4 linked regions of the Drosophila melanogaster genome follow. The protein of the gene in region 2 purifies or fractionates together with the protein of the main gene of each other region. This does not show direct contact. Each region holds a gene or a part of one and is shown on either strand. Other genes may lie near its edges.

Region 1 (5,470 bases), 9.9 Mb from region 2:
CACATTAAGCAGCGTCACGCGGACGAGTGGCTGCGCGCCAAGATGGCACGCTCGCACAATCCGCAGTTCAAACCGGCCGACGTTTAAACCTGACCCCTCACAATTGTGTTTAATCATTATACGTATAATTAAACTGTACTTCACTGGTTTCATTCTTATTAGAGGTATTTGTAGCGGACAATGCTTGTTAGAGGTAGATTATAAGATCTTTATTGAATCACATAGAAAAAAAATATGTAATTTTATGTGGAGCACAGATGATTTTTTGTTGTATGTATGATCCGTTGATCCGTTCATAAAGACGGATAACATCTCCAGGTGTCCATTCGATCAGTTTTGCAGAAGTCTGTCGAGCGAGGATGCGAGTTCTTTGGATATGGCGTCTGGAAACTGGATGGAGAACCTGACGACGATGGAGCCGCGACGGGAATTATTAATGGAATCGGGCAATCCGTAGCCCAGAATGCGGCGCACGGATTTCGGACTGATTACCTCGCCCACGTCGGTCTTGAGTTCCATCGGCCTGCCAAGAAGCGTCGGCACCATCACGTGTAAACCGCACAGAGCATCCTTCAGCGAGATTTCGGCTGTGTACAGCAGATTGTTGCCATCGCGGCGAAAGATTGGGTGTGGCTTGTCCCGGATTATAAACACGACGTTGGCGGGCTCAAGGTTGGGCAGTTGAATACCCTCATTGGGAAAGCAGATCTTGGTGCCAGCCTTACAGCCCGGAGGTATCTTGACAGTGAGAATTCTGTCATATTGTACCCCATCAACGCCGTTCCTACCCGAAGCCCGGGAGATCTTCATGCGCCTGTTGCACCCGTTGGCAATGTCCTCCAGAGCAACGTATATTACATGTTCGATGCTTGACTGGGGTGACTGTTGTTCGCAACGACGTTTAGGCGCGCCCGCTCCTCCACCCAACAGGACGTCATCGTCGCTGTCAAAATCGTTTTCGATATCCTCGAAGAACGTAGAATATGATTCGCTGTTGTCGAAGAAACGTCCAAAGTTGGCCCGCGGGTTGTTCTGGCGACCACCGCCACTGCCACCGCCACTGCCACTGCCACTGCCACCACCACAGCTACCAAATGCCGTTCCATCGCCGAAACCGCTACCTTGATTCGCGGTATTGCGTCGGGTACCCTTGTCATTGCGGGAGTCGTACGATCCGCGCTTCTTTTTGTCTGATAGGACTTCATATGCCTTGGCCACCTGCTTAAAGATCTCCTCCGCCTGAGGGCTCTTGTTTTTGTCCGGATGGTAGCGCAGCGCTTGCTTATGATATGCCTTGCGGATTTCGCCATCATTGGCAGTGCGCTGGATGCCCAGTATCTTGTAGTAGTCTTTAGGCATGGTTTTTTACTCCAAATGTTTTACGTACACAGACGAACAAGTGCAACTCCTTCGAAAATTTAATCGAATTGTAAAAGGTATTGTTCCAATCAGAATGTTGCTTAATTTGAACAACACTGCTACGATTACTATATGCTTACTATTTATTTATGCTTCGATTTAGATTTTATAGCCTAACGCCCTTTCTTTTAGTTTTTCTATTGGTCTGATTTTGGTTAACTTATACAACAATATTTTCGCTGCATAACTTTAAAAAGGGAGTGGGACATAACAAGTTTTGAATTCAAGAACCGATTACTTTCGATATTTACCGCCATGCTCAGTGCCATGGTTACTCAAAAATCATCGATTGCTAGCTGCGCTCATACGATAGTTGCCATCGGGGGTCGCTCATCACTGCCGGCATCAAACGGTCACATCACTCTCAATATTAATTGATAAGCAAAAAATTGAGCAAGTTCTCGCATAAACTTTGCAATCGGAAAAGCGTAGTTGTGATAAAAACAAGTAGAATAACAAAAACAAAAAAACAACAAACAAAAAAAAGTAGGTTCAAAAAATGGAGAGCGAGAAAATCTGTGACCTGAAAATGTTGAGGTGGGCCAGTTTCGTGATGGAAATTCGCAGGGCGTCGTGTATATTTTTCTTTTTTTTTGGCCTTCTGGCGCAGACAGTTACAACAACAACTATGACTTGGCAACAAGAGTTGCAGCCGCTAACATACACACGCAGCCAGACATGCAGAAGCTGTGAGCAGCTTTTGCGAATTGTAGAAAATGTGTGCTTGTGTGCAACATAACTAGTTTTCTCCTGCGAATCATCCACGAAAAGAGAAAGAGGGACAGAGAGAAATGTCTGACAGCTGGCAGATGCAAGATGTATTATGTCCGCTTCTTGCGCATACCTACCTGCACACAATTGCAGTTGCTCATTTGCTCTCTCGTTTTTTGTGTGTCTACCTCGAGGTGGAAAATGTTCATAACTTTGCCGGCCGGTTTTTGATCTCCTTTCTTTGCTCACCACTTTTTCCCCCCAAATCATGATCATAGCTTTCCCCTCCGCTCAGCGATCGCCTAAATGGTCACCATGGAAAACAGCGACGAGATAATGCAGATCCTAGAGCGCTTTACGGATCTTAAACAAAAGGAGATCCCAAAGGAGCTGGAGGAGTACCTACAGTATGTGGCCAAGACCGGCGACACCATCTTCAAGTGGTCCAGCCTGAAGTACTTGTTCCGCGAGAAGCTGCTCAGCGTGATCAAGCACTTTAATGAGGATTCGCCGCGTTTGGAGGGTGAGTTTTCAGGTTGTCCTGTTAGGTTTGGTGTCAGGTTGAACCATAATCCGAAATGCAATTCCACTCAGGGATATTAGGAACAGAAATAACCGAAGACGAACTTAACTGCTTGCAGAGATTCCCAACTATCCGAATGTGGACCCTTTCAACTACGAGACCATGAAGTCCTCGTTGCTGGAGCGCTTGGACCTTTTCAATGCAGCTCCTTTTACCGTGCAGCGGTTGTGCGAGCTACTAATCGATCCTCGGAAGCAGTACTCGCGCATCGATAAGTTTATGCGTGCTTTGGAAAAGAATATTTTAGGCAGGTCTCATTCCTAAAACTAACTATTTACTATGTATTAAAGATTCTTAATTTTACAGTGGTTAGCACAATCGATCCTGGACGCAAGCGTACCGAAAGTGAGAATGGCGACTCGCTGGACTCAGTGGTCAACGGGGACCTCTCCATGGAGGTGAACATTGACATTGAAATGGAGAATAATAACGGTAACGCCGATGAGGGCTCATCTCCCGGCGCCGGTTCGGCAGGTTGTGCCCAGAAGGCAAGCTGCCCGCGTTCGGACGACAATGATCAGCCCAAGGCCAAGAAGGCAAAACTGGAGATCGATGGTGAAGAGCGTTCGGAAGCGAGCGATGAAACGGACACAGAAGTGGCAACCAGGGTCAAAAATGAAAAGGATGAGAAGAATGACAACGATGAGACTGATTCGCCGCATGAGGCTGCCGAGATCGAGGAGCCCGATGAAGAGGTGGATGAGGCTGATCAGGAGACCAAGACCACCAAGCAGCCTGCTTACGGCAGTCAGAAGGAGGGCGAGCAGGAGGAAAGTTTCCCATCATCTGCCGATGACGAGGCGGAGGACCCAATGGTGAGCAAATCCATAGAAGCTGAGAAAGAACTTGTTGCTCAGGAAAAGAAGAGGGAGGAGGACAAAAAGGTGGCAATCGAGCCAAAAGAAGAGATTGTAAAGAAGGAAGAGGTCGTCGAGTCTGATAAACCGGACGGAAAGGTGGCACAGTTAGGCGACAAGGCAGTTGTCAAGAAATCTACACCGCCTGCCGATGGGGAAAACCAGGAGCCTGTCAAAGTCAAGGCAGAAAACGAAAAGGAGGAGAAAAAACATGCACCAATTAAAACTGAAAAGCAGGACGATATCGACTCTACTGAGACTGACGATGCCCCATCAGCAGAAAAACCCGCTGAAGAAAAGATAGCTTCCTCCGAATCGAAACCGAAGACCAAATCTGAGGACGATCCAGAGGCCGAGACCAAGAAGAGCCAACCGGAAAAGACTGAAACTGAGGCGGCCGAGAAGTCGGTTTCGGATGAAAAGCAGGCTGCCGAGCCGAATGCAGAAAGCGAGAATAGGAACGACTTGACCACTTCCAAAGCGACCGAGGCAGCCCAGGAGTCAGTCGAGAAGTCGCCGGTTGAGGATGCTTCTAGTCCTGCTGTGGAAGATCTGGCAGCTGCAACCACACCGCAATCTCCTTTGGGCGCTGCCGATTCCGCTGCTGAGACGCCGCCTGCTGAGACAGGCGATGACTCGCAGGCTTCGCCCTTGGTCGCCGCTGTAACTCCGCCTGTCTTGGCCCTCAACGACCAGCCCATGGAGGATACTCCAGCCGAGGAGGAGGCACGCGTCTCGCCGTCGGCCACCGTCGAGGAGGTGGTAATGGCCGAAAGCGCCAATGCCGGCGCAATGGCCACCGAAGAGGCCGCCAAGGACGATCCGGCCGCCATGGAGATCGATGACACCAGCCAGGAGGTGATGATGCAGTAGATTGGGCCCATTCAGGAGCCGTAAACACCTTTATTTAACTACTACTCCATATAACTAGTATTTTAAGACAAAAGCCGCAAATAATGTAGATGTAATCCTGCCCTGCTTTCCCTTTTATATCCCAACAGATCCCAATACTTTCCAATAAGGCAAGCAGTGGTAGCTCCCCCTTCGTAGCCGTAAGTCGCAGCCCGGACACGATCCAACACTAGACTCTGTTGGCGGTTCGGTGTTTCATGCTCTGTGGCCTCCCCTTTTGTTTTGTATTTATGTTGTGCTGTCCACCCCCTTGCGAATGACAATTTTGAGTATCTCAACCCCCTCGCCACTGTTCCCAAATTTTTTTAAATAATCTAGTTTTAGACGCTGTCCGTGGCACGAACTTCGGCAAGCTGTGAGCGCGATTAAACACAGAATAAACACTACTCGTAATAACAGTTCGCCGCCGTTATCCTTTCGATCCTTTCAGGTGCAGGTGCAGTATATCTTAAAAGCATAATAGGATTTACCAAAACGCTGTAGGGATAGCTTAGCATGTTGCTAAAGGTTTTTGTCCACTTTTTATTATAAATTTTGGGCAATTGAGCAAAGCTTTAATTATAATTGTGTAAGGTTGAGGTATTCCAGGACAAAGGACATTTAAAGGAACTTGTTGGAATACCTGATTGGGGTCATTTTGTTGGCATTTTAAATGAAATGACTTGCTTTTGAACGAATAGAATCGGGCGTTAATTTGATTGTGGTTGCAGTTATAGTTTGTGAAATATTTAACAGTTGTGCTGATGTTTTTGGTTACTAACTCAATTTATGGGGCTAGATAAGTTCGTCGGACTAGTGCAATCTGACATATCGACGCTTTTAATCGCCGAATGCTTTGCAAGCCAATCGAATCCTTTTCTATTTGTTTTTGCCCAGTGAAAGCCAGTCGAGTTTCTTTGGTATAGATTGTGTAGGTGTGTGAGTAACAAGCAAACAGAAACACAGAAATTGGCACGCAAGGCGAGCAAGCAAACAGGTCGTGTAATCA
Region 2 (5,513 bases):
CTGGATGAAGGATTAGCAGACGCTGTCTCTGTGTTCGCCGCTCGTCGTCCTCCTCCTCGTAGAGAAGTCCTTCTGCCTCCGGTTCGTCGACGTCTTCGTTTTGCGCTCGTCTGCCGGTGAAGTCCTCTTCGCGTATATAGCGCGGGCTGTAGTTCCCTGCCTGGTAAAGACGCACTGTTTTACGCAGCTCATTCAGGGGATCCTCCTCGTCTTCGGGTGAGCCCTCCTCAACCTCCGGGTCCTCTGCGTCCTGGGTTTCCATCTCCTCTTCCTTGACTTGTGGGGCCACCTTCTCTTGCAACGTCTCATTATCGTTTTCTCGCTTGAGCAGCGACAGCTTCTCGCGCAATAAGGCTTGATGGCGATCTCGCAGTCGAGCTCTGGCCATGTGTGCCTTGAGTTGCGAGAGCAGGCTTTCCCAGTAGCTAATGTCGACGCCATCCGCTCGCCCACTGATCTTGGCCTCGATGCGGTGCCGCATCTCCTCCAGCTGCTGAGCATTCTTCCCCCTAAAAATATCGGCCACATCCTTTACCACCGCCTGGTGGATGCCATCCCGGCGTTGATTGAGCGAACTATTCTCCGCCTCCAGTTTCTGTTGGCGCTGCAGTTCATCCTGCACAATGGTGATCATATCGTTCCAGAAATCGATGTGCTTGCCCTGCTCCAGCTCTTCGTATACCTTAATGTCGACCAGCAGGTCCTCCAGTTCTTCCACGGGCAGGCCGTTTAGCAGCACATAGGGCTCGTGCATCTGCATCTCGAGGCACTCTTCGAGCGGCTCATTCCCAGCGGCCACATATTGGGCGAGAAGATCGATGGGCTTGGCACGTCCATCTCGGATCCGGATTTCACTGCGCAAGCGTGCCTGCTCTAAGTGAAACTGATCTTCCTGTCGCTGCCACTCGCGGAACTGCACCGCCTCCTTGGCGCGCTGCTGCATCATAAGATCATCCTCGCGCACCTGCCGCTCCAGCTCCCTCTCCTGACGCCGTTTCTTGACCTTCTCCAGCTCCCTGCGATTTTCCAACTGCTTTTGCAGAGACAGTACCTCTACGGTTTTGGTGGAGAGATTTGATAGTCCCTCTACCTCCAGCTTTTTGCCCCAGTGGAAGGTGGAGGTGAGATTGGAGTCCCCGAACGGGTTGTCTTCGTTGGAGTACGTCTGGTACTCGTTGTCCCAGCCCATTCGTTCGCGACGCCGCTGCTCCTTGGCCTGCTTTTCGCGCAGGCGACGGGCGCGCTTCTCCTCGGGCGTTTCATGGGCCTTCAGCTCCTCCTTTTTACGCTGACGATCCTTCTGCTCGACGAGGCGACGGGCTTCCAGCGTCTGGAGAAGCTTCATCGGGCTTTTTACCAGCGGCGAACGAGGGGCACCGGGCACCGAGCTGGACGTCGAACTCGACGGGGATGAGCTGGAGGAAGAGGACCGGCGTCTCCGGCTTTTGTGCTCCCGCTTCTTGTCCCTGCTTTTGTCCTTTTCCCTTTCCCTGCGCTGGTCACGTTCCTTGTCTCTGTGATCTCTGTGGTCACGATCCTTTTCCCGCTCGCGTTCACGATCCCGATCCCTGTTCCTGCTGCTCCTCGGATCCGGACTGCGATGATCCCGCCTCTCCCGACTGCGGCTGCGATGCCGGTGCTTGGATTTCTCCTTGGGCATCTTTTTTAATGAGTTTTTCGGGATAAAACTTGTGAAATAAAATATAAACAATGCTAGCGTTGCCAGATGGAGAAAACCAACCCAGATAGCCACTAATAATTGCAAAAGTGCTATCGATATAAGCATTATAACATTAACACATCTCCCTCTTGCCGATAAGTCGATTTATTTTTCCAAGGGTTAGTTTTTACAAACTTTAAATTTTAAAATTTCGGCTGCAGCGTATTATAAATACACAAAAATAAATAATTTATCGATGGAATCCTTGGTGCAGTGTAAAAGGCTTTTTAGGGTCTTCGTGGTAATGCCCACTATCGAAACTGAAGACTCGATGTGTCATTGCAAGTGCCATTACTCAATATATCGATACAAACGCAAGTAGCCAATCCAGCTCTTCGCAGAAACCCGGTTGGCAAAAACGTTTATGTGCATTTTTTGTATTCAATCGCCAACACGAGAGCCGAGCTACCAGCAAAAGGATTGTCCAGATAGCCCGCCACTGCGCTGAGTAAGTAGTGATTCTGGAAAAGTGTCGGGGAAGACAGGAAAAACACGGCAGACGGTGAAAATCGCGCGCGGCAAAAAGGCCAGCGACAAGCCAGACGCACACACACACGCGAGCATCCGCACAAAGCCGACGCACACAGACGCATGCAGGCGAACTCAAAAACCGAAACACAAACAAAAGGATGGTTATTAGTCGACTATTAGTTACCTTACTTCCAGTTCAGCAGCAACTGAAAATCTGAACTAATCTCTAATCCAGAAATTCTGGATTTAAAACAAATCCAACCCTATCCACTGTCAAATACACGTTTCGTATTTGAAAGAAATGTGTATGCATTCACTTAAAACACAGCCATCTAAAACAGCTAAAAGAAGTTATATCGAGAATATAGCCTCTTTTCTCGTTGGTTGGCTTTTCATTGCGAAATAGCCTCATGGACTATCTCAACAAGTGGAATAGCTGGGAACGCGAATGTGTGTGTTTATATTATTTGCCCAATCCGTAAATATAGTTGAATCGTCTTGATTCTTAGATGTGGGGGATGCAGCTATACAGATGCACTTTATGGCCTCTAAAACGCTAGACTTGCTGTGCACGACTAGAGTAGTACCCTATCCTATCACTCAAGCGACCAAAAATTTATAGTATTTCTCTTATGCAACCTTGTGGCTACCTGAAAACCACCCGCGCCAGTTTGGTGAACGACTAACAACGCTGTCCCCGCCCTGTCAACGCCTGCAGTCCGATTCACCGCTTCCCCGTCGCCTCGGCTGCCGCCATCCTCCGGGTGAAGATGTCCGACTACAGCGACCTGGACCGACAGATCGAGCAACTGAAGCGCTGCGAGATCATCAAGGAGAACGAGGTGAAGGCCCTGTGCGCCAAAGCCCGCGAGATCCTGGTGGAGGAGGGCAACGTGCAGCGTGTGGACTCGCCAGTGACCGTGTGCGGCGACATCCACGGTCAGTTCTACGACCTGAAGGAGCTGTTCAAGGTTGGCGGCGATGTGCCCGAGAAGAACTACCTGTTTATGGGCGATTTCGTGGACCGCGGCTACTATAGTGTGGAGACGTTTCTGCTGCTGTTGGCGCTGAAGGTGCGCTATCCGGACCGAATCACGCTGATCCGGGGCAACCATGAGTCGCGCCAAATCACACAGGTCTACGGCTTTTACGATGAGTGCCTGCGCAAGTACGGATCGACGGCCGTGTGGCGGTACTGCACGGAGATCTTTGACTACCTCAGCCTTTCGGCGATCATCGACGGCAAAATATTCTGCGTGCACGGCGGGCTGTCGCCGTCCATCCAGTACCTCGACCAGATTCGCAGCATCGACCGGAAGCAGGAGGTGCCGCACGACGGGCCCATGTGCGACCTGCTTTGGAGCGATCCGGAGGACCAGACTGGCTGGGGCGTGTCGCCGCGCGGCGCTGGCTATCTCTTTGGCTCGGACGTGGTCTCCCAGTTCAACCGCACGAACGATATCGACATGATTTGCCGTGCACACCAGTTGGTAATGGAGGGCTTCAAGTGGCACTTCAACGAAACCGTCCTGACCGTCTGGTCGGCACCCAATTACTGCTATCGGTGAGTCAGCCTCCTGTGCAATTTCGAACTTGTGTTGTTAACTCTGGAATCTCTCCACATGCAGCTGCGGCAATGTAGCTGCCATCCTGGAGCTGAATGAGTACCTGCACCGCGACTTCGTCATCTTTGAGGCAGCTCCGCAAGAGAGTCGCGGCATTCCCTCGAAGAAGCCTCAGGCGGACTACTTTCTCTAAGACGCTTCCGTTCCTGACAATCCGGTGGAACGGAGTCGGCACAGGATGCGGGTGCCGACTGGTAGCTTACATAAATCATCTAGGGAATAGAAATAGAAACTGCCAGCCTGCAAAAGCGAAGCGAACGCGAATAGCAACTGATGGTGTAAAACAAAAAATATGTAACATAAACGTAAGCTAGGGTAGAGCTGCCGGACACAGGTCCACGTTCAGTTAGACTTATTTGCTTTTTTGGTTCAACTAAGATATTTAAATTTTTTTTACCATCTGTTTACCTCTACCTGTGTTTAATCAGGCTATTTGCGCGATCTTTTAATGGCTGTTTTCAAAACATGTAGAGATCAGCCATGCAGATCGCGTATGACCTGTGCACCTCATCTAGCTACTAACTAATAGGTTTAATGACCATAGCCCAAGACCCTGAGAATTCGCCTTGCGTAGACGGACCGCAATCGGAGCCGCCGTCTTCTCGACACGAATTCCCTGGGCTTGGGCAGCATACTATACTAGGAGCCCAAGTTGAGCAAATAGATATTTTTACCGACAGATTGCGTTAAGTCGGCTAAGCTAGGACATATTTAGGGGAGCCGAGAGCGAACGCGCATCCCTGGCTGGGTCCCTTCTCCGCAGGATATCACCTGGAGAAACCCAGGTACGAAGAACATCGTGCATTAATAAATAGTGAGTAAGAATCTTTTAAATATGCCCCAGATTGGGAGATGATATACAAAAAAATGTACTTGTATTTATAATAATAAAGATTGTAATATAATCGTCGAAATTGAGCAAGAATTTTTTATTAGTAAATTATGGGTCCCGAGGAGTCTTGGAGGATAACCACACCCATACGAATCCCCCTTCACAATCCAACAAACAATCAAGCCTGCAGTTTCTCAGTTTATCAAGTACTTAATTCATAGTATACACATAAAAAAAAAAGATGGTTATATTCCAGAAGGGCGCTTGTGATACAGTAACGGGGGGTCGTCATGGGTCTCAAATCTGTTCTCAGTGCTCCTCCAGCTCGAGTCCATGCTCCTTCATTTGCTCGTAAATGCATTCCTCGTAGGCGAAGGCAGCGTCGCAACTGAAAATGGCAGCATGATTATAGTCCGGATTTGAGCCAACAGCTTCCGGCGAGCACTACTCACTGATCCTCGGGTGTCTCGATGGCCTCGCACTTGGCCACCACCTCGGCGGGAGCGTCTTCCTTCTCTGCATCGTGCTTGCTCATGACCTTGACCAACTCGATGGCGTGTTCCTTGTTCAGCTTACCGGATTCATCCATCTGCAATGGGAGGGAGAATGGAATGGGTGGTGGTGAGTGGATCACACTTCCTGCCGGAGCAGCAGCACTCACTATCTGCAGCTTTTTCATCACGCAGGCGCGCAGGCACTTGGCCTCGTGTCTCTCGGGCAGGTCGTGGCTCATCAGCTGCTCCACATCCTCTGTAAGCGATATATCATATGATTGATAATTGCACAATAACTATCCTAACACATCCACCACAGGTAGGAGTGGTACGCTGACAGCTGTATTCCCTACTGAATTTTCTGCACTGAT
Region 3 (5,276 bases), on a different chromosome or scaffold from region 2:
CTCACCGCTGTTTGCTGCTCGAAGAGATTGGTGCTGAGGCAGCTCTTCCACAGCATGTACTTGGTTTCCTCATAGGCCAGATCGGCCAGCAACGGGAAGTTCCGCTGGTTGAGCACCCACTGTTCCAGCTCCTGCATCGAATTGTCCAGGAAATCCTGACACCAAACATACTTCTCGGCCATTTTGGCTGCCGTAAGGAGCAACGTCGCTCCACGCTCGTTCAGGCGCAGCACGGCATTATTCAGCGTGGGCTGCATACCGGCAAACATTTTGTTGCTCAGCCACAACGGCGCCTTCTGCACTATCACCTCGCACATGTCCTCGGTATCTACATGACATTGTGTTAGAGAAATAATATATCTCTTTATTCAACCAGTACTTACAGATTTCGACTAGCACATTGACCAAGCTCTGCAGGATCGTGTCCGAGTAGTTGGTGGTGATCAGCAGGAAAGGAACAACGGCCACGTCCAGCGGCTTCTTCGGTGCGAATCCCTCCCTAAGCATCTCACGAAAGGCTGCCCTAAGGTGCTGTTCGTGGCACGAGGTCATATAATCGAGGATGCCCGCCTCCGAATCCAGGTGGCAGCGGTAGTCATCGACGAATCGCTTGATGCCGCACTGTAGAATCTGCATGATGATCTTGTAAGGGAAACAGCCGCCCAATCTCGCCACAATCCAGTCGAAGGTCATGGGAAACCGGTGAAAGGCATTGAGCATGATCTCCACGCAGGCCTCCTCCTCCGGTTGGGTTAACTTTCGGAAACAACTATTTATAAGGGTCATCAGCCCGTGCATGGCGCTGCACTCCAGCCAATAGTTGCAGCTGGCCGTGATGGTCATCCGCCGCTGGGTGTACTTATCGGACAGCTTGGCCACTAGTTCCAGACTCCAGTTGGCGATGAGCGGCGACCAGGCGGGCGGTCCCTTCCACACCAGACTCTGCAGCGCGGTCTTTACCAGATTGAAAGCCTCGTATTCCGGAGCACGTTGCTGCTGCTGGCGATTCCCGGCCAGCTTCACCTGGGATACCGGCATACCGGTCTTTGGGTCGGCCATCTCCGGCGACACATACAGCTGCACACTGATTTCGGCCAGCAGGGCGAAGTATTCGAACACAATGTCTCGCGTGGCGGGCAGCTCCTCCAGGAATCCCAGTCTGCAAATATCCATGGAATTATTTACTACGGGCATCATTATTAACCACCGCGGTTGCTACTCACGCGAGCTTGATGAGATTGGGGCTGGTCAGCAGCTGCGGACAACTGTGCCCATTGCTCACCGTCTCTATGAAGTGCTTAAGCTGATCCAACAGGTTCTGGCGCAGCATTTTGTCGTCCTAGGCATCGGGAACGCAGCACCGAAGTTGGCCAAGTGAGCAAATGCATCGCAGCAGCGGGTCGCTGCGTCTTTCACTCGGAATACCAAAACGACGGGGCACAACTGCAGGCATTTGGAATCCGCCGCCACCTGGCCACACTAAGGCGGCAGAAAATTCGAAATTCTTTAATATCTGAAAATCATAAAATTAACAGAATAATAAATATCTTAGCACTCTAACGTGTCATTACATTCATTATAAACTAGCACCTGAGATTAGTTTAAGATGACACTTTACATTCAAGTTAAATTAAGCTGGAAAAGATTTCTAATCGGAATTATGTGTTTACTACAATGCTAACTTTCGAATCGAGGATGTAATTACTGAGTAATCAAACTGTTTGCTCTTTTTAATACTAAGTAAACGTACTTATAGCTCTATTTTCTAATTTTATAATATTTAACGTGTTTTTGTTTTAAAATATTATCGTAACAGTAGGGAGTGCGAAAAACGGTAACACCAAAACCCAGTTCGTGCATTATTGCACACTCTTTTGGGGCGAATCAAGAGCGAAAGACAACATGGCGTCGAAGCGGCGAATCTGTCTCGCAGTTTGTCGTGCTGTTTGCTTTTTTCTGCTCTGATTTGTACAAATATTCATTCAAGGTGCTCCAGTTTTGCCAAGTATATGTTAATAGAGTACCATAACAATGGTGGCGTCACAGGGGTGCTAGAGTTCGATATCGATAACAGCTCACATTCTCGTCATATGCAACTATCGCTGTACTCTCTGGCCGAGTATCGATACGCAGATATTATCGTCGTGGTCAGACCAACGCTCTAGCGTCGGTCCGCGGAAAATAGCGAAAATTACAATTATCCGGGAAGATATATTGGTCGAAAACTAACTCGTGATCCCCCAATAAATATGCGCAAGAGAAAATTGTATATAAACTGATCGAATGCAGCCAGCGTGCTAAGCACTAAAAGCGAAAAACGCCAGAAACAGAAACAAGGAATTGCAGCGTGAGTGTATAACTTTTTGGTTTTTGCCCCCGCGCTCTTTCTCTCTCTTTGCTGCTCTCTCTCTCCCGCTCTCTTTTGCCCTCTTGCGGCTTCTGTGTTGTCTGCGTGCTAGTGTGTGTGTGTTTGAATTTTACTGTGAATGTGACCGACGGTGTGTTCTCACGTACTCCGTGGATGATTTGCGGCCTTGCCAGGGAATCGGACTATATATCCCGGCAATAGCCCATATTGGATCCCGATTTTGAATACAACTCGGCTGATTTGCTTCTTTCAGTGTCTCCCCTTTTATCGCACTTTATGCAACAACGCATACCGTCGTGTTGAATTTCCTCGCTCTCCGCTGTGTGTGGTTTGTAGGTGTGCGTGTGTTCGAGGTGAGTTAGCCGTCGTCTGTTTTTCTTTTCCCTGCGTTTTGTGTGCGTTTCAATGAAATGCAAAATCGCCAGCGAATATCGCGGAAATGCGCTGCTCCTAAATATTATGTATACATAAATAAAGTATCGAATCAAAACAAAATCGGCTTGCAACAACAACAAAAACATTGCAGAGTGTGGGTGGCGCGTGTAGCGATCAAAATTGCGTGCATGTGTAATGTGTGTGGTGGAGAGACGGCATTTTTCTTTACCACACGCCTCTTCTTCTTTCCCACAATACACTGCAATTTTTGCGATTCTGTTTTGCGCCTGCCATTCGCAATAATTTTATTGAATGAACCGCAAAAGAGACGGCCCAAAAAGCGATGTACTTGCCAGACGTTGTGTCTGTGTGCGTCCAAGTGTCTGTAGCGCGTTGTGTGTGTATCGCGTATGAAAATACATCAACTGTTGGGCATCAACAAAAAAACGGAATCAAAAATTTATAATAAAAAATGAAAGGAAATTAGCTGACTTTGTAATCGCAATCGGAGAGTGTTTACTTGCTAAATTTTCGAGTTCTCCGCCCGTCTCTTTCCCTTCATCCCTCCTGCCTTCACCGCCAATACCACCCCAAAAAATTGCATACATGCACACACGCCTTCGGTTGTGCGAGTGGTTTAGTGTGTGAGCGCGCGCGTATTCTGCACACATTGTCATGCATGCAAAAAACAAGATACGACGCGTTCGCAATCGTTAGATTCCGTCTCCCCCAATTCATGGCGTTTCATTGCTGGGGGCGAAAGTAAGAAGATAACGAAAGGGATATGCGAACCACTTCCTAATGAAGTCCTGCATCCTTAGCTTTTGGATTCCCACCTCTTCGCCTTCTCCTTCTTCACACGGACACTTGCAGCGTTCGCGCCCATGCGTGTGTATGTGTGCGAAGAACAGGAAGAGAGCAGCGAGACTCCAATTATCCATTTACAGTTGCGGTTGAAATGATGGAGCATAGTTGTATTATTTGTATTCACACAATTACCGGTGGTATTTAAAGTCTTAACAATATTTATTAATTTCCTGCTACCTTCCTAAATTTTATTCATAGTTTTAATACTGTACCCAAGTACCTTAAGTTCCCTAATCAGATGTAAACTTGTTGATAGGCATAATTCCTATCTTAGTTTGTATTTTTGTCTACTATAACCTAAACTTAATTCTACTACGAATTTAATTACAACATACTAAGACTGTAATCTACAAACCAAACGAAAATGCCTTGAATAAAAGAGGTCTAGTGATTCATAATACGATTTGCACACGTGTTATTAACTAGGTAGTAGCGAAATAGAGTCAAAAAGGCCACCGACTTGTTCACAACTGTATCTCTTACTAACTTCCCTATAAAAACTAATTGTTGCTGGGGCGAAAAAATACTGCCAAGTTGTCATATTTGCCGGACTTTATTGATGACTCGACTCCAGAGCTCTATATTTCGCACACAGATTTTCTCTCGGCACTTTTCGCAACCTTCTGCGGCCGCTGGTTATTAATAAAAATTAATAATAAACGAAATCTGTGGCGCTGTGCGGCACTTGGACACACTTATGTACACATGAGCATTCTCGTGTTTTTCGCAGCTGATTGCGTAAACGAAACCGCTCGCTACGTTTGTTTTGAATTGCTACTTTTGTTTTGGTACCGATTCAGACTTGGAATCCGATTCAGTTACAGATTGAGATTGAGATTGAGATACTCAGGCTCTCCGCCTGGGCTTCAATTCTCCTGCGGGCGTTATCAGTGGCCTATGGCGCTTTATTGGAATTACCATGGAAGTGGGAACTTAATCGCTGTGCAAATCGCTTCGAAACAGCGCAGCACGCATTTTCCCCGACGTCTTGCAACCTTGGGCGAGTGGCACTGCGGGCGGTGGGTGGTGAGCGGTTGGGTGATCTAGAGTGACGTAAATATTTGTGGTGGACAGTCAACATTGAGGTGGCGCTCTTCAACGATGACGTAGCTTTTGCCACTTCTGTTTACTCGCACATTATTTCACACACTTCTCCATTGATTTTCGCCGTGCAGATAACGAAATAGTGGACTGATTGTTAACTGTGTATAAATGAAAATATGGGTATGATATGTGTTTATTTACACTTTTTTTCTGTGTACGAGAATGGTTAGATTACTCCCCTTCCTCGTTTTGAGTCACCCGCTCTCTGGCCCTCGCCGCTGTTTGTTTTCTTCGCGCGCGTGTTTGCTCTCGCCGTGGGGCGAAAGCGCAGCGATAATAGTGGCTCAGATATAGTGTATACTATATGTATAGTAAACCTACTCATACCGAAAACCCCATCGCACAGATACGGATACATTTACAGATACACGCGCGCACTGCGGAAGGCCTAGATCTAATGGAAAACGCTAAATGTTTGTAAACAGACCGGGCACATTTCTTTTCTTTTCTTAATTATTTTTTGCATTTCGCATTTTAGTTGGCATGGTCTTCTCACGGCTTCTCTCTCTTCACACATCTTTCTTCCGAAAATACACTCACACACACGCACACCGAACGTAGC
Region 4 (4,207 bases), on a different chromosome or scaffold from region 2:
CTTGATATTCAGCACTCTCAGTCCTGCGCCTTGGGCTGCAATCACCTGGAAATTGAACCCTTGTTCAAAAGAGTCTTCTATATAGGATTTTCCTTGATTACCTGCAGGATCTTCTCGTAGTAGCTGAAGGGAAACACCTCGGTCATCAGGAAAGTAACGCCACAGTTGAGCAGCATCTGCAGGCAGGTGAACCGCATGTTGGCGTCCAGATAGTCCGAGCTGAGGATCACCCTGAGCAGATCCTGGTATATATTGGGGGTTGCTCCCAGCTGGGCCAGATACTCGTTCAGTTCCACCATGACGATGTTAATGTCCAGCTGCACGTCCGGGGCATACTGCGCGTAGCTGATGGTGGACACCAAGAGATTGGCCAGCTCCGCCAAGGCGCTGTCGCTCAGCGATCGCACGGAGCACTTTTTCGACATGTCTCTGTTATGGTTTCGGCCCAGAGGTAAACAAAATACGACGCAGAAGCCGCTGGGAGATGAGCGCACTAGAGGAATTGTTTTGCTCGTGGTTACATCACTTGGTAGCAGGCGCAATGCTGGTTGTTTTCCTGCTCCCTTAGAGTATTTCTAACGTTCCTCGGTAACTATTTGCCCAATATCAGCTAATGGCGCACTTCTACACATGCGTGTACCTTATATTTAGGGGTAAAAATAGATTCTAAAATTATATAGGCGAAGGAATCGGTTTCTGCCGACGAACTAGTGAACTGCTCGATCCAACAGCACGATGCAAACTGAGAGCCATGGGACGCCAAAATGTTTGGTTTCCTCGGTTCCACATTCTCAATTCGGCGAGCCACTTGAGCGACCAAAAAAAAACAATGCTTAACTCGTTTCATTGTTATTTTGAGTCGCTTTACAATTGCATTATTTATTCGACAGCATCGGAATAGAGACATTCTATAGTTTACTTAACTGATTCGGATGAAAGCCAGCCAGTTATTCTGCTGTTTAAACAATATTACAACTATTACACAAAATTTTAAAACGAAATCAAAGTTTTTGTTTGGTATTCCGCAGCTTTAAGCCTTTTAAACTAGAATTTCTGGCGAATGCAGTTCGGTTTACAGATATTCGAATGTGGGAGAGTACTAAGAGAGCGTTTTTCAGTAGAGATTCTAGGGCTGCAGGTAGCTGGGCAGCTTCATGCGCATGAACAGCCAGGTGGTGAAGAAGGAGACCAGGATGAAAATGAATCCCATGGCGGTCAGCAGCAGGCGGTTGAGGTTCGTCTTGCCCGGCGTGTGCGTTTGGTCCATGATAATGAATCCCAGTCCGCCGACGGTGAACAGGAAGCTGCTGGCCAGGCCCTCCATGATGTACTGCCCATTCACACGGTAGGGCATAAAGGCCACTGGACGCGAGTGTCCGTGCTCATCCACCGTGGCTCCCAGACTGGGCGGCTCCACAATCACGTCATATATGATACCTGCGGGCCAATTTGCATCTCTGTTTAACCAATCTCAATTATAGAAAGCTTAGGACTCACCGCCTGTCACCAGAAAATAGGAAAACAAAATCACACTGAAAACGGCCATCGGTGACGGCATTGGAATGCTGAATCTGCGCACCTTGATGTTCGGCGGCACCAGGATGTGGAAGGGCAGGTTATACAGTGTCTCGATCATGATGAACTAATAATTTAATAACTATAAATTTAAATATATCACGGATTTTTCAATTTTCGTGGCGGTGTCGCTGAATTTTGCCGGCGTAGGCGGAGTTTGTTGTTATCTATCGAATAGGGATGGACACTTGTACGATACTCCCCCTGCATTGGTGTATTTCCACTAGACAGCATCTATGCTTGCAGCTGCATCGTAAGCCATGTCATTGTACTGTTAATGTCTTAAGTTTTAAACTGCCTAATCGATTTGAATTTTTTTATAAGACTCAAAATATATTATATGTAACATCAAACGATTGGCTTATTGATACTAATGTGCTTCAGCTGCGCAGCGTGAACAGCCTTTATATTTGGTCATACTTAGTGATGTCACTATTGCGCTCGCGTAGAAAAAGAGGAAGATGCCCCCAAAATAACAAACAAAACGTAACTCCCGATCAAAATAGCTTTAAATTGAAGTTAAATAACGAAACAACTATAATGGCGAGTGGCATTAACCAAGCAGCAGGTGGGCTGAGTGAATTTCTGAAGATTCGTAGCTTAGTTAACCACTCCATTTGCAGGTAAACTGCCGGCAATTGCGAAGAAGGTGCAAAATCTCGGCGATATGGGCGTTTGGCAAAAATCCCGCGCCTTCCACGATTTAATTGGATATATAAATGGCACCAGTTCGGCCATTCAGGGCATTAAAACCACAGACGAGATTTTCGAGTCGGAAATGCTCAAGAAGCTGCTGCGGCTATTCGATGCACTGGAGAAATTGGTAGAGCAAAATCCTCCATTGGAGCAGCCGCAGCGGTTCGGAAACAAAGCCTACAGGGATTGGGCGCAGGCAATGCGGGAATTGTTGCCCGAACTCCTAGAACAGCTGTTGCCAGACGACAAGAAGCGATACCAGGTGGAGCTGGGGCAGTATCTCACTGAATCTTTCGGCAATGCCACCAGGATCGACTACGGCACCGGCCACGAGCTGTCCTTCCTCTTCTTCCTGTGCTCCCTGTTCAAGGCGGAGATCCTGCAGGAAAGGGACATCGTGAGTGCTGCGCTGAGACTCTTCAATCGGTACCTTGAGCTCGCCAGGCAGCTGCAGCGAACATACAACATGGAACCCGCTGGGAGCCAAGGAGTCTGGTCGCTGGACGATTTCCAGTTCGTGCCCTTCATCTGGGGCAGTGCACAGCTGGCGGGTAAACAATTAAGAAGGATTCCTCCAAGATTTCCTTTCTGAAACGATTCCTTTCAGTTAAGAGTCCCTTTGATCCCTCGAAGTTCGTGGACGAGGCGATAATCACCGAGTACAAGGATCACTTCATGTTCATCAGTTGCATCGACTACATCTGCAAGGTCAAGACTGGACACTTTGGCGAGCACTCTAACCAGCTGTGGAGCATCACGGATGTGCCAACATGGGCCAAGATCAACGCGGGACTAGTTAAGATGTACCAAAAGGAGGTAATCTTTAGTCAGTAATATGACTAATATAAAGTAGCTTTAATTGAATACCTAGTACTCAGAAACTACTATAAACTATCCACAGATTCTCTCCAAGTTTCCCGTGATCCAGCACGTCTACTTCGGAGAACTGATGACATTCGAGCCCGTCTCCTCTGGCACAACTCTGTCCAACGCACGACTGGGTCATGTGGCTCCGCCGCCATCCAAACGCATCTGCATCGGGACTCCAAACTTGGTGCCACCAGTTCCTGTTGCCACTGCTCCTCCTCCGCCCGCCGAATCTCTTAGCATCGAACAGAATGTGGGCGACTCGAGCAGTGAGAGCAGCGACAACAGCGTGGTACTACGTCCATCCACATCGTCGTCTTCTCTGGTGGCGGCCGCCGAGGGATCTGGGGATAAGCCCAGCAAGGAATAGACTACAGAATGGAGGAAAATGGCGATGGTGTAACCTGTGTTAAAAATTCTTATTAATAGCGTTGGCCAATGGTCCAGTAAAAACTGTTTACACAAGTACAATCGCAATTTGTGTTCCTGGGTCTTAAAGTTTCCGCTTTCAAATGGGTACATGAAGCACTTTCCCGGCGAATGTGTTTCACAACATTTAATCCGAGTTTAATGGAAACAAATGTTCTTTCCCATTTACACAAGAAAAAGTACAAAAATGGGAAGCGATGGACGAGCGGAAAAAAAATAAACAAAATCAATATGGCAAATGAGGCATGCAAATAGATGAACTCGTTGTAGTACATCTACTTTTGCGGGTAGAAACAGCTTAAAACAGGACGAATTTATAGCAGAAAAAGAGGGAAGCTGGAAAGTGGCAAAATGTAAAAGTTGAAAAAAAAAAACTTTTGCGGGGAGTCCCCCTGAAAGCATAATCATTTATTTTCGACACATCATTTATCAAACCGTACGGCAGGCGCCAGCTTGCCACGCCCCCTCATTTCGTCACTTAAAAACTTCATCCGGCATAGTTTTTTTTTTTTGTTTTTTTCTTCGTTGTATATTTTGAGAAAAACCGGGTAGGCAAGGCAGCAGCGAATGCATTAAAACTTTGCCGACGCATTTTGATTGAAGACTTTCGAAAAACACGAAAATGTGTGCTTTTCTCCAT

The links.
Region 1: the proteins of Pp4-19C (region 2) and PPP4R2r purify together in Drosophila melanogaster (affinity purification with western blotting; 2 studies listed by BioGRID, with this or other methods). This does not show direct contact.
Region 3: the proteins of Pp4-19C (region 2) and flfl purify together in Drosophila melanogaster (affinity purification with western blotting; one study listed by BioGRID). This does not show direct contact.
Region 4: the proteins of Pp4-19C (region 2) and Ptpa purify together in Drosophila melanogaster (affinity purification with western blotting, with the first as the bait; one study listed by BioGRID). This does not show direct contact.

The regions. Positions count from the first base shown.
Region 1 is NC_004354.4:10,477,065-10,482,534, forward strand, and holds PPP4R2r (protein phosphatase 4 regulatory subunit 2-related protein), read left to right. Parts: upstream 1-1,773; 5' UTR 1,774-1,905; intron 1,906-2,305; exon of another isoform or gene 2,306-2,425; 5' UTR 2,426-2,436; coding exon 2,437-2,653; intron 2,654-2,724; exon of another isoform or gene 2,725-2,771; coding exon 2,772-2,960; intron 2,961-3,019; coding exon 3,020-4,443; 3' UTR 4,444-4,879; downstream 4,880-5,470. Other genes in the region: CG2889 (uncharacterized protein), read left to right, coding at 1-87; CG2887 (uncharacterized protein), read right to left, coding at 331-1,359. UniProt on the Drosophila melanogaster protein: Regulatory subunit of serine/threonine-protein phosphatase 4 (PP4). The probable PP4 complex Pp4-19C-PPP4R2r-flfl (PPP4C-PPP4R2-PPP4R3) is required to prevent caspase induced cell death (in vitro).
Region 2 is NC_004354.4:20,420,301-20,425,813, reverse strand, and holds Pp4-19C (protein phosphatase 19C), read left to right. Parts: upstream 1-1,811; 5' UTR 1,812-2,168; intron 2,169-2,807; exon of another isoform or gene 2,808-2,861; 5' UTR 2,862-2,961; coding exon 2,962-3,755; intron 3,756-3,819; coding exon 3,820-3,949; 3' UTR 3,950-4,727; downstream 4,728-5,513. Other genes in the region: cactin, read right to left, coding at 1-1,660; Obp19d (Odorant-binding protein 19d), read right to left, coding at 4,958-5,036, 5,101-5,237, 5,310-5,398. UniProt on the Drosophila melanogaster protein: Protein phosphatase that regulates many processes such as microtubule organization at centrosomes. The probable PP4 complex Pp4-19C-PPP4R2r-flfl (PPP4C-PPP4R2-PPP4R3) is required to prevent caspase-induced cell death (in vitro).
Region 3 is NT_033777.3:13,681,804-13,687,079, forward strand, and holds the start of flfl (falafel), read left to right. Parts: upstream 1-2,117; 5' UTR 2,118-2,347; intron 2,348-2,621; 5' UTR 2,622-2,721; intron 2,722-5,276. Other genes in the region: omd (oocyte maintenance defects), read right to left, coding at 1-328, 384-1,159, 1,224-1,330. UniProt on the Drosophila melanogaster protein: Regulatory subunit of serine/threonine-protein phosphatase 4. The probable PP4 complex Pp4-19C-PPP4R2r-flfl (PPP4C-PPP4R2-PPP4R3) is required to prevent caspase induced cell death (in vitro). May be involved in DNA damage repair.
Region 4 is NT_033779.5:3,374,984-3,379,190, forward strand, and holds Ptpa (phosphotyrosyl phosphatase activator), read left to right. Parts: upstream 1-2,018; 5' UTR 2,019-2,115; coding exon 2,116-2,143; intron 2,144-2,198; coding exon 2,199-2,822; intron 2,823-2,878; coding exon 2,879-3,087; intron 3,088-3,172; coding exon 3,173-3,508; 3' UTR 3,509-3,607; downstream 3,608-4,207. Other genes in the region: CG15412 (uncharacterized protein), read right to left, coding at 1-45, 102-425; CG9662 (uncharacterized protein), read right to left, coding at 1,127-1,437, 1,498-1,636. UniProt on the Drosophila melanogaster protein: PPIases accelerate the folding of proteins. It catalyzes the cis-trans isomerization of proline imidic peptide bonds in oligopeptides. Acts as a regulatory subunit for serine/threonine-protein phosphatase 2A (PP2A).